Linked DNA regions of Sus scrofa. The protein of the gene in region 2 interacts with the protein of the main gene of each other region in a pairwise test. Links are inferred from orthologs where the notes say so. Each region holds a gene or a part of one and is shown on either strand. Other genes may lie near its edges.

The links.
Region 1: the proteins of PRPF31 (region 2) and PNMA2 interact in binary tests that used the Homo sapiens proteins (3 or more experiments, as listed by UniProt). The two-hybrid records come from large-scale screens. The link is inferred for Sus scrofa from reciprocal best matches to the Homo sapiens genes PRPF31 and PNMA2.
Region 3: the proteins of PRPF31 (region 2) and CCNDBP1 interact in binary tests that used the Homo sapiens proteins (3 or more experiments, as listed by UniProt). The two-hybrid records come from large-scale screens. The link is inferred for Sus scrofa from reciprocal best matches to the Homo sapiens genes PRPF31 and CCNDBP1.

The regions. Positions count from the first base shown.
Region 1 is NC_010456.5:10,426,184-10,429,929, reverse strand, and holds the start of PNMA2 (paraneoplastic antigen Ma2), read left to right. Parts: upstream 1-1,540; 5' UTR 1,541-1,680; intron 1,681-2,415; exon of another isoform or gene 2,416-2,564; intron 2,565-3,650; exon of another isoform or gene 3,651-3,746. Other genes in the region: DPYSL2 (dihydropyrimidinase-related protein 2), read right to left, coding at 828-1,181.
Region 2 is NC_010448.4:55,997,968-56,001,573, reverse strand, and holds part of PRPF31 (U4/U6 small nuclear ribonucleoprotein Prp31), read left to right. Parts: intron 1-960; coding exon 961-1,118; intron 1,119-2,363; coding exon 2,364-2,453; intron 2,454-3,606. UniProt on the Homo sapiens protein: Involved in pre-mRNA splicing as component of the spliceosome. Required for the assembly of the U4/U5/U6 tri-snRNP complex, one of the building blocks of the spliceosome.
Region 3 is NC_010443.5:128,266,613-128,270,344, reverse strand, and holds the start of CCNDBP1 (cyclin-D1-binding protein 1), read left to right. Parts: upstream 1-820; 5' UTR 821-947; coding exon 948-1,101; intron 1,102-1,276; coding exon 1,277-1,336; intron 1,337-1,628; coding exon 1,629-1,708; intron 1,709-3,732. Other genes in the region: TMEM62 (transmembrane protein 62), read left to right, coding at 1-235. UniProt on the Homo sapiens protein: May negatively regulate cell cycle progression. May act at least in part via inhibition of the cyclin-D1/CDK4 complex, thereby preventing phosphorylation of RB1 and blocking E2F-dependent transcription.

The DNA.
Region 1 (3,746 bases), on a different chromosome or scaffold from region 2:
GTTGAATATAATCCACTTAGTCCCCATCTCCAAAGCCCCTCCCAAATAGTGGCGGAGGTTGAAGGGAGCGCTCTGGGAAGCCCTTGCTGAGATACTTAGCGGAACTCTGTTCTCCACGTGGGCTATTTAGGAGGGTCGCGGTTTCCTCGCGTGACACCACCTCCTCCCTGGTTCTTCTCTCGCTGCAAACAGAAGTCAGGGTGACGAGATAGATTCTCGCTTGCAGTCCGAGGAGGCGCTGACCATGGTCCTGGCCTCCGAGCTCGGGATGCGAGAGCGGAGGACGACAGAGGGGATGCGCTGGAAGTGTACGCAGGGCGCGGCGGGGAGCTGTCGTCTAGGCCCCCGCCCCTCCCGACCCCCGGGGAACCCGCCGGCCTTCACGCGAACCCTCCACTGCACGCTCTGAGCTGCATCAAAAAAGGGTGGGGCAGCCAGACACAGCTGCAATCGGAAGCTGCCCGGGAGGATTTAAGAAGAATGGAACCTCGGCCCATCCCCTCCCCCTCCAACCAAGAGACCCCCCAGCCGGGGATAGGCCCATCCTTTACCCCTACCCCCACCACCCAGGCCCAGGGAAGCGCGGGGAGCCTTTGTGGGCGCACAGCCGCCCACCGCCCAGCCCGAGCTTCTCCGAACCCTGCACGGAGAAGGGGCGGGTAGGGTGGGGTGCTTGTGCACATGCAGGGAAGCGATATTCGAGGTGGGGCAGGACGGTGGGCACGCTGGGATCCTCGGCTTTTCACCGAGCTGGAAGGGGCGCGAGGGAGGGGCGAGCCCCACGCTCCGTCCTGTCTCGAACACCTCCGCCCCTCCTCCATACCAACCTGGTCGTTGATGTTCTGCAGGGCTTCCTTACCGGAGGCCCGCCGGATCTCCACCTTCCGGCCCGATTCAACAGATGGCTCCCCGCCGGCGCGCCGACCCTGCCGGGAGTACGGCGGCTGCGGGTCCGGGCCCAAGTGGGCGACGTCCCGCTGCTGAGCCACCACCTGCCCCGAGCCCCGGCCCACCGACAGCGAGTCGAAGTCGATGGTCTTGTTCTCCGAGGACCCTTCCACCGGGCAGAACATGCCACAGAATTTCTGTCGAGGCTTGGGGCTACCGGAGCCCAGGTTTTTAAAAAAGGCAGGGACCTCTTCGTCCTCTGCCGCCTTCCCGGATTGCTTCCTCTCTGCCATGGCTTGGGGGCTTGGGGAGTGTCCTCTCTGTCCGTTCTTTCCTCAGCGGGTCCCTAAGTCTGCCTGTCTCTGTGCAAAAATCCCCCCCGGCTGCTGCCTCGGCTGCTGCTCTCTGCCTACCGCAAGGTGTACAGAAAGGAACGAGGGCTGGCGAGCGAGCGACCCACCCCTCCCGGTCCCTCCCCCTGACCCCGCTTTCTCCCCTCCCTGCCCACGCCCCCCGCAGCCTCGCGAGCTCCCGCGAGCGGCAAAGTTGGGGTTGGGAGGGTGGCCGCTGCGGCAGCAAGAACCGAGAGGCTGCCAGTTACCAGCAGCGGCGGGAGGTGGGGGGAGGCGCGGGCGGGGCGGGGGCGGGGCGCGGCGCTGGGGAGGGGAGCTCAGCGCTGGGGAAGCTGGGGAGGGCCGCGCCGCCCAGACCCCACGCTCCGGAAGTGAAGCGGCCAGACCCCCGGCTAATGGATGCGGAGCAGAAAGCCCGCTGACCGCTCTCGGCCCCAGGGTAAGTATGGGGCAGGGCACGCTGGGGCGAAGATCCGAGGGCGCCATCCCAGGCCCCCGCTCCCCTCTCCCCGAACTGCCCGGCCCAGGCACCTCTCTCCCACCGCAATGCAGAGCTGGCCCAGGGGCGAGGGCCCACTGTGTGGAGGGTTCCCTCCCCCTTACCCGAGTGCGAGCTAATGGATAGGAAAAGGGGCAGAAACTGGTAGACTCAGGACACTCAGCGGGAAGGTAAGGGGCGGCACTCAGGACGGAGAAAGGATGGCGCAGGCTGCGCAGAGTGGTGGGGGCCATATAGGGCGCGGTCTATCCATTGGCCTTGGTGGGCTACTGGGAGCAGAGATTGAAACAAGTTCCTCATTTACTATACCCACTGTGGTGGGGGGCGCGCAGCGTGGCGGAGAGAAATGCAGAGAGGCATAGCAAATGCGGAGGAAGTCGGTATATATAGAGAGAGACATAGGTCCACGGTCTGTGGGAGTGTAGCAAAGAGTGTAGTCTGCAAATTCCAGCCCAGCGCGGCAACTTGGATGTATAGTGAGAGAGGGAGCAGACCGCTACACTGGCGCGCCGTATACCGTAATTGCGCCACAGCGCCAAGAAAAGCCCAGCAGAATGCATCTTCCCCCGCCCCCAACCCGGCAAAGAAGGGAGAAAGACATTCTTTGAAGCCCACTCCCCAAATCTCCAGCCCTACCCAGCGCCCAGGGCGCCCCGCCTCATTTCCCCGCCCTGCTGCGCACTGCGCCAGAACCACGGGGTTTCCTAGGTTGCCAGAAGCCTCGTGCCTGAGGCCTTCTTGCGCGCGCGGCCAGTGCAGGGTAAGGAGATGGGGTGCCAGCTGTGATGAGTGAAGAACTGTGTGAAATCCAGCAGGAGAATGAGGTATGGGGACATGGTGTGCATGCGCCAGTAGACTAGCCACAGCCACCACCGGTTTAGTGGGCATCCAGAGGGCATTTTAATGTATGCCAGTAACACAGTCTCTGAGGGCTCTTTATTACTTACACCTATCCCTCTGTCCTTTCCACGTCTCAGTCCCTGCCCATGATTGATTACAGCCCTGCCTTTCTCTCTTCAGTGGCAAAATCCTGCAGAAATGATGCCCATCCTTTGGCTGCTGGAGAAGGAGCTCTGGGCATGCTCACTAAGCTGGGTGGGTTGGACTGGAAAACACTCTACCATAGGAGTGTCGTTGCTGGGCAGAGTAACCAAAGATCCGATCCCATTGTCATCCCTCACCCCTGGAAGGGTTAAATGTGGATACCCTGCCTCTCCCAATTGTGATGGATAGTTTGGTAAATGGAGTTAAATTCTGAGGACAACCAGTCCCAGTTTGAAGATAAGCCCACCATGATAGGTGGGAAGGCATCTGGGGATGAGAAGGAGAGGAGGAGGGAGGAGAGAGGAATTTACATGTGCAGGGGATGAGAGAACCAGAGGCAGGCATTTGGACTGAGCACCAGATGTGCTTCACATTTGAATAAAATGCTTCCACACGAATCACGCCATTTCCTACTGCCAGCAGCCCCCTGAGATGAGTGTTTCATTGTCACCACTTCCCAGGATTCCAGGGTAGAAAACAGATGTAGAGGCTTTGCCCAAGGTAACTGTCTAGTTAAATGATCCAGCAATTCCAGTGAGGTCTTCCACCTGGAAGTCTGGTTCCTTTTTGACCTTATCCTGTCTTTATAGGAGAAAGGACAAGATTTTCACATTTTCCCCTATATTCAAATATTTCCATCTGTGGCTTTATTGTGTGTCAGGAATGTTTCACTCGCCTTTTATTTTTATTTTTTATTTTTTTTAACTTGAAGGTAGGTTGCATTGCAGGTAGAGACTGGTTTTGGAAGAAGAAGACACCCAAAGATAGCCTAACTTCAGCATGACCATTATTATGTAGACCTTAGAGCTGTTTCTTCCTGGGTACCCAGTGTCTTTTTCCACCTTATGTTTCCTCTATTGCAACAGGGAGGAAGGTCACTCCCACGTCTTAGAAGAGGAACAGGAGGCATGATGAAGTCCCTGGGTTCAGATCCCTGGGGCTGCAGGGCAAGGACGTGATCC
Region 2 (3,606 bases):
CCCACACTGACCTCAATCTTTGGGTAAATGCTGTCACGTGCCTCAGTGTCCCCAGTGGTGACTGGAGGGTGTGCCAGCTTCCTGTTGCTGCTGTAACAGACGACCACAGACCAAGAGGCTTAAACAGTGCAGTTTACCACCCGACCGTTGTGGAGGTCACACGTCCACCAGGGGCCTCACCGGGCTAAAATGAAGGGGTGGGGAAGGAGGGCTGGTCCTGGGGTGGGGGGCGGGGAGGGAGGAAGCCGCGTTCCCTGCCGTTTCCAGCGTCCAGAGGCGCCTGCCCTCCTTGGGGGGGGGGGGGCTCCTCCATCCTGGCCATCCCTTCTGACTCCGCCCTTCTCTCCTGCCGTCGAGGACCCTGCGGTGACACTGAGCCGCCCAGGTCCTGCAGGACAGTCTCCCCTTCTCAGGGCCCTGCCGAGTCCCCTTGGCTGTATTCAGGCACAACTTCTGGGGCTTGCGATGTCAGTGACCGTGGGGCGCTGTTCTGCTCCCGCACAGGCGTTGGAGGCTTGTTTCGAGGATTCACGTGTTGGATGAGACAGTGGGCCACATCCTCAGAAACCCCCAGCACAGGGCCCCGCCCACAGTGGTCCCCATCAGAGGGAGAACGTGTTACCCACCGCTCCTCTTCCCATCCCCCACGCCTGCAGACGCTCCAGGGGACCTAGATGCCGTGCCACACTGGGCCGTGTGGGCACGTGCTCCCGGTGTGGTGAAAACCGCTCTCAAGCACAGAGCGGGGGGGGGGAGGCCCCCCGCAGCTTTGCAGGCTCTGGGGTCAGGTTCCTGTTGGGCCAGTTGCTTCACTTCTCTAAGCCACCTCTGAATGCCCCCTGGAGTGGGACACCTGGCCCTCCCTGGCGGGGCCGCCTAGGCTCCAACACAGTGACCCCCGCACGTGCACACACACCCCCCCGCCCCCGCCTGCCTTCTGACTCCCGCCCTCCTGCGCAGGTGTGGCCGGCGGCCTGACCAACCTCTCCAAGATGCCCGCCTGCAACATCATGCTGCTCGGCGCCCAGCGCAAGACGCTGTCCGGCTTCTCGTCCACCTCGGTGCTGCCACACACCGGCTACATCTACCACAGCGACATCGTGCAGTCCCTGCCCCCGGTGAGCCCCCAGCCCCACCGCACCTGCCATGCCCCACAGGGCAGCTCCCCAGGGCCCGCGGCTCCCCTGTGACCCCGGTGCATGGAACCCTAGAGGATGCCCCACATGGGTTAAGGATGCCACAGCTGATGCGCCAGTTTGGGATGCTGGCCGCGCCACTTCGCAGCTGGGCCAGAGGCCTGAGTGCTGAGCCTTGGCCTCCCTGTCTGGAAGCTGGGGGAGTGAACCTGCTTCAGGGGCCGCGACGTGGACTCAGTCATACGAGAAACACTCTGAGGGCAGGCCTCACACATCAAAAGTGATGGAAGCGTGAGATCGGGGTTCCCAAGGCCATGGTCAGGTTCAGTGACCCCCAGAAGGGCTTGCAGAGCTCACCTCGAGCTGATCCAGGTTCATCACGTCGTGGGAACCCAGACGAACACCAGCCAGGGAGAAGCGTGAGGGCAGGGTCTGGAAGCACCAAACAGGCACCACATGAGACAGGACACAGTCGCCACCAGGACGCCCAGCGGGGCCTCAGGCCTCCGTCTCTACCTGGCTCAGGCAGAGATGGGGTTGCCTGGTGAGAGACCCCACCCTGAAACACAGGGCTGCACGCTAGCTTAGCCAGGGCCCCCACCAGGACGCCCAGGAGCCAGGGCCAAGGCCAGGCCTCTTCGGGCAGGGTTCAGTTCTCCGCTGCGCTGGCTAACTGGGTTCAGTTCTCCTATCGTTGCTAACTGGGACTTGGGGGCTCATGTATCATCTTGGTATTTCTCAGAGCTCCAGCCCCTGCCTTTCAGGTACACTGATGGATTTTTTAAAAATATTTTAAAATACATTTTGGCTGCTCCTGCAGCATGCTGAAGTTCCTGGGCCAGGGATCAAACCCATGCCACAGCAGCTGCCCCAGGATTCTTAACCCACTGCACCACAGCGGCTACACTGGGTCCTGAACCCACTGCACCACAAGGCAACTCTTATTTGATTTTATTCATTTATTTATTTTAATTGTAACATGTTTTCTCAGTATTTCATCGTCTTGCCTCTGTGTTAATGCATCTCTGTTGTCTGGGGAGATGGGAAGGTGGGTGAGAGGAGACACCGACCGCAACATTTTGCTATTGTTACACGTTATTCCAGTAACGACAGCAGTGAAGACAAAAGCTGGTGTGGGAAACGGAGCCCATGGCGGCAGGAGTTCTGGAAACGGCTGTGATCTGATTGTATCTTCACGCTGACTCTGCCTCTCTGTCGTTGCTCCAGGATCTCCGGCGGAAAGCGGCCCGGCTGGTGGCCGCCAAGTGCACGCTGGCAGCGCGCGTGGACAGTTTCCACGAGAGTACGGAGGGGAAGGTGAGGGGCAGCCGGCATCTGTCTGCATGTCTGCGGTCTGGTGGGGGTGGGGGGAGCTGTGATCAGAGGACCCCCACCCCCACCCCGTCTGCGCTGTCCTGACGGTGGAGGTGGGAGTGTTTGTGCCCCCCCACCCCCAGGTCCACTTCCCCTGCCCCTGCTGTACCAGTTTCCCGTCACTGCTCAGCCTAGTGGCCTAAAGCGTTGCAGGGCTACTGACTTAAAGTTCCCTGGGTCCGGAGCCCGTGGTGGTTCACTGGGCCGAGGTCACGGTGTCGGCAGAATTGTGTCCTCGGAGGGTCGCTCCGCCGCCTTTTCCAGCTTCCACAGGCCACCTGCGCCCCTCGGCTCGTGGCACTTGCCTCCCTCTCCGAAGCCAGTGCGGCACCTTCCCGCCTCTGCCTGACTCTGCATCTGTCTTCACGCCTCCGACTCCTTTGAGGTCCCAGGGATTACACTGGGCCCCTGGGATCCCCCAGGATCGGACCATCTAGGGCACCTCCCCATTTCAGGATCCTTAACTTAATCACATGGCCGCTCATAAAATCAAATAAGAGTTCCCTTGTGGTGCAGTGGGTTAAGGATCCTGGGGTGGCTGCTGTGGCTGGGGTTTGATCCCTGGCCCGGGCGAGGTGACGGTTCATAAGGACCAGAGAGTGGCTCACAGACACCTTTGGGGGTGGGGGAGGCTTGCTTGGCCTACGACATGGGGGTCCGTGCCCTCCACCAGCACTGTCACCCTTCAGTACCCATTCCAGCAACCTCGCCTCCTTGGCACACTTGTTCTGCGAGGGTAGGTGTTTCTGTCTTGTGCACCTTCGTCTCCCAGGCTCCCGGCCTGGCACAGCGTTGAGGGATCTGGTCTCGCTCTCTCTGACCCCCGGTCTGGATGCCGGGGTCCAGCAGTGCACCCGCAGACAGAAGCCCTGCCCCGCGACGTTTCCATTCCCGTTGGAGGCGGGGCAAGGAGACGCAGGCCGATCTGCTGTGTGTCCAGTGGTGCTGAGCAGAGGCTGGGGAGGTTGGACTGACTAACCACATGTCAGGGAGGGCTTCTCCAAGGAGGTGAGGGTTTAGCCTAGACCTGAGTGCCATCAGCCGGGAGTCCCGTGGAGCCTGGGGGAAGGGTGTCTCAAGCGGAGGGAACGGTCAG
Region 3 (3,732 bases), on a different chromosome or scaffold from region 2:
AGGAAAATACTTGAAAATTATACCTGTTCATCTACTTATGTTACTGCTGTACATCTGGCAGATTTATTCCTGCTACTTTCTTCATATGACATATGGCACTCTAGCTTTATTATTCTCCCCTTTGCGGACCTGGCTGACACTGGTGACACCTGTTCTCATTCGTTGTGTGTGGACACTGAACTCCACAGAGCTTGGAACCTTCATAGTGCAGTTAAAAAGCCACCTGAGTTCCTGAAGGCCATGTCTCATCATCCAGCTCTAGCCCAGGCCTCTGCCCCCCGAAACAGGCGGAAGGCCAATACTAGTAGGCAAGCTTCAGGGAGCTGCTGTTTCTTGGCCGCCTGGGAGGTGGGGGGATTCCCCACTACTGATTTCCTGCATAATGGACTGCAGGAAAAAAATCTCTAAATAATGCCATGATTCCTTCCTTCCCTAAGAAGGCAGAAGGTTGATTTACTTTTGTGAAGAGAGAGCCCTAATCTAGGAGATCCACAGGGCAGGAGCTGGTGTGTTTGGTAGTATGTGAACCCAGTGTTTTTTTAACGTTACCTCATGTAAAGTACCTAGCACAGTGTCTGGAACTCAGCAGGGGACAAGGGCGCCACCACTTGAGGGGCAGGGAACCAGTGCAAACTTGGGCCTGACCCTGACTACCCTTGATTAGTTCCTGGTCCTCTTTTCCCACAGGGTTCTCTGCTTCCTCTGTCGGAGGTGTTTGCCACTAATCAAATAAATGAATAATGAATAAGAAATAACTCTGCGTCGCCTTGCGTGTGTGGTCAGGGCCCGGCGCGGGGGTGGAGTCACGTCGGGGCGGGGCGGGCGGCTTCTCTTGTTGCCGGAAGCGAACCCGCATCCGTGACGCCCGGAAGTGGAGTGGCTACTGCTGTGCGGCTCAGGCGGCTTCCGTGGCAGCTAAGTACGCTGGCTCCCAGAGTCCTACTGGGATGGCGAATGCAGCTCCCCCTGATGCTCCAGTCCCCACCCTGGCTGTGCCTTTGGAGCAGCTCCGGCACCTAGCAGAGGAGCTTCGGTTGCTCCTTCCTGGAGTGCGGGGTGAGCTGACACAGTGGAGACGGACCCCCACAGGGACCGGCGTGGGTAGGGAGAAGCCGGGCCAGGGCGGCGGCGGCACCAGGGAGCGAGGGATGGGGGAGTCGGGGGAGGGGAGGGCGGCAGGGCCCGGCGGGAGCGGAGGAAATGGGGGCCTCAGGTAGCGCCGCTTACCTCTGCTCTTCCTTTTGCGGTGGCCCGGCCCACACGCCGAACCCACTAGTCGGCGAAGCCCGGGAGACTACCAAGGAGTTTAATCGGGAGACCTTTTGGAGAAGATTCAGTGAGTGCCTCTCTTGTTGGAGACTGCCATCTCTCATCTCTTCAGTTGTCCCTGTCCCTTTCCTTCCTGCTTTTCCCCGGCCTGTCCCCTCTGTGGGGATACCTCATCTTACCCATTCTCGGCATCTCTGAGGTTGAGATTTAAAACACTGATTTTTGGAGGTGTTTTGAGACGTCTAAGCCGGCAAGGGTGGAGAGGGAACGTGTTATCTTCACAGCCCGTCCAGCAGCTGCAGCCTTATCCGTTTGGCACTAACATACTGGCTTCTGCCTCCTCCTCTGACTCTTCCCAGATGAGGCAGCTGTGACAGTGTCCACGGAAGCCACTACTCTGACCGTAGTCTTTTCCCGACTTCCACTGCCATCTCCTCAGGTGGGCTTTACTTTTCTGGAATCCTTGTAGTGCCTCTTTATTCTTTAGGAATCCTTTCATTTTCTTTCATGTTTTACACTCAAAGCAAGGGATTTCTTTCTTCCTTCCTCCCACCCTCCCTTTCTCCCGGACTTCCTTCTTTCCTCCTTTCTTTCTTTCCTGCACCCGCAGCTCTCGGAAGTTCCTAGGCCAGGAATCAAACATGAGCCACAGCAGTGACAACACCAAATCCTTAATTGCTAGGAGATCAGGAAACTCCTTAGCGTGGAATTTAGTTTTCTCATCTGTCAAGTAAGATTGCATATCTTATTGACTTCATAGGAACATTAACCTCAAGAGTTCTCATATCACAGGAATATTCTGAAAACCAAGTTGTCAGGTGCAGTACTTGACATGGAGTAGGCAGCTCTTCTAAACATTGGTTCTTTTTTTGTGTTTGCTTTTTAGGGCTGTACCTGTGGCATATGGAAGTTCCCATGCTAGGGGCCAAATTGGAGCTGCAGCTGTCAGCCTATGCCACAGCCACACCAGATCCAAGCCAGTCTGAGACCTACACCACAGCTCATAGCAACGCTGGATTCTTAACCCACTGAGCGAGGCCAGGGTGAAACTCGAGTCCTCATGGATACTAGTTGGGTTTGTTACCACTGAGCCACAACAGGAACTTCAGTGAGTTCAATGAGGTTCAAAATGAACCTCAATATTGGTTCATTTTGAGGTTCATCCTGGTTATTTCCTTTCTGATAATTTTTTATTTTAAGCACTTGCTATTTACTGGGTGTTTTCAGATACATGATCCCTATTTGACAGATGAACAAGCAGGCTCAAAGGCTTCGGTTAAGGTAGATAAGTAGGGGTGCTAGGATTAAAATTAGGTTCTGGGATTCTCTTGTGGCTCAGCAGGTTAAGGATCTGGCATTGTGACTGCTGTGGCTCTGGTTACAGCTGTGGCAAGTGTTCCATCCCTGGCCCAGGAACTTTGGCATGCTGTGGGCCCAGCCAAAAACAAAAACAAAATAAATTAGGTTCTGTCTCATGTCTAAGCTACACCTATTCTGTTATACTACAAAACACCTTTTTTATATTGAATTATTTTTTATAATTAGTAACGATGAATTAGTATAAAATTCAAAAGATATCAAAACCTAAATTAAGTGTGCTGAAAAGTTTATATCTCCCCTCGCTTATTCCTTTTGTGTTATTCCCTATATATACTATGAATATACCCACTTAACGTGTATGTGCCTACTTCTTCTTATGGTAAAATATCTTAAACATTTTTCTGGACTTTCCTTTTTTTTAAAAAAATTTAACAACATAGCTTGAAAATTGATTTTTAGAAGTAGGTATAAAGTTGCTCAATTCTTTGTAATGGCTGTGTGATATTCAATAGTGTGGATATAACTATAGTTTATGTTTGTCTTTTTTTTTTTTTTTTTTTTTTGGTCTTCTCTAGGGCTGCACCTGCGACATATGGAGGTTCCCAGGCCAGGGGTCCAATTGGAGCTGTAGCTGCCAGCCTACAGCACAGCCACAGCAAAGCCAGATCCAAGTTGCATCTGCAACCTCCACCACAGCTCACAGTGGAGCAATCCTTAACCCACTGAGCGAGGGCAGGGATCAAACCCGCATCCTCATGGATCCTAGTCGGGCTCCTTGCCACTGCACCATGATGGGAACTGCCAACCATAGTTTATTTAACCAGTACTGTGTGGACATTTAAGCTGTTTCCAACTTGTAACTGTTATAAACAGTGCTGTTCTAAATTGCCTAACACAATCTTTGTTTATATCTGTATATCAGTAAAAATTCCTAAAAATGGAATTGCTAGATAAAAGAGTGTATGCTTTAGTGTAAAAACCTTGAAAGTAAATATTGTTGGCTGTGGCCAGGTATGCTCTATGTCCAGTATTTCTTGAACTAGTTAAACTTAATTTAGGAATAATTTTATTTTAAAATGGTGTATTCATTGCCTTATTTTATTTTTATAGTCAATACTTTAATTCTCTTAGTCTGTATATCTA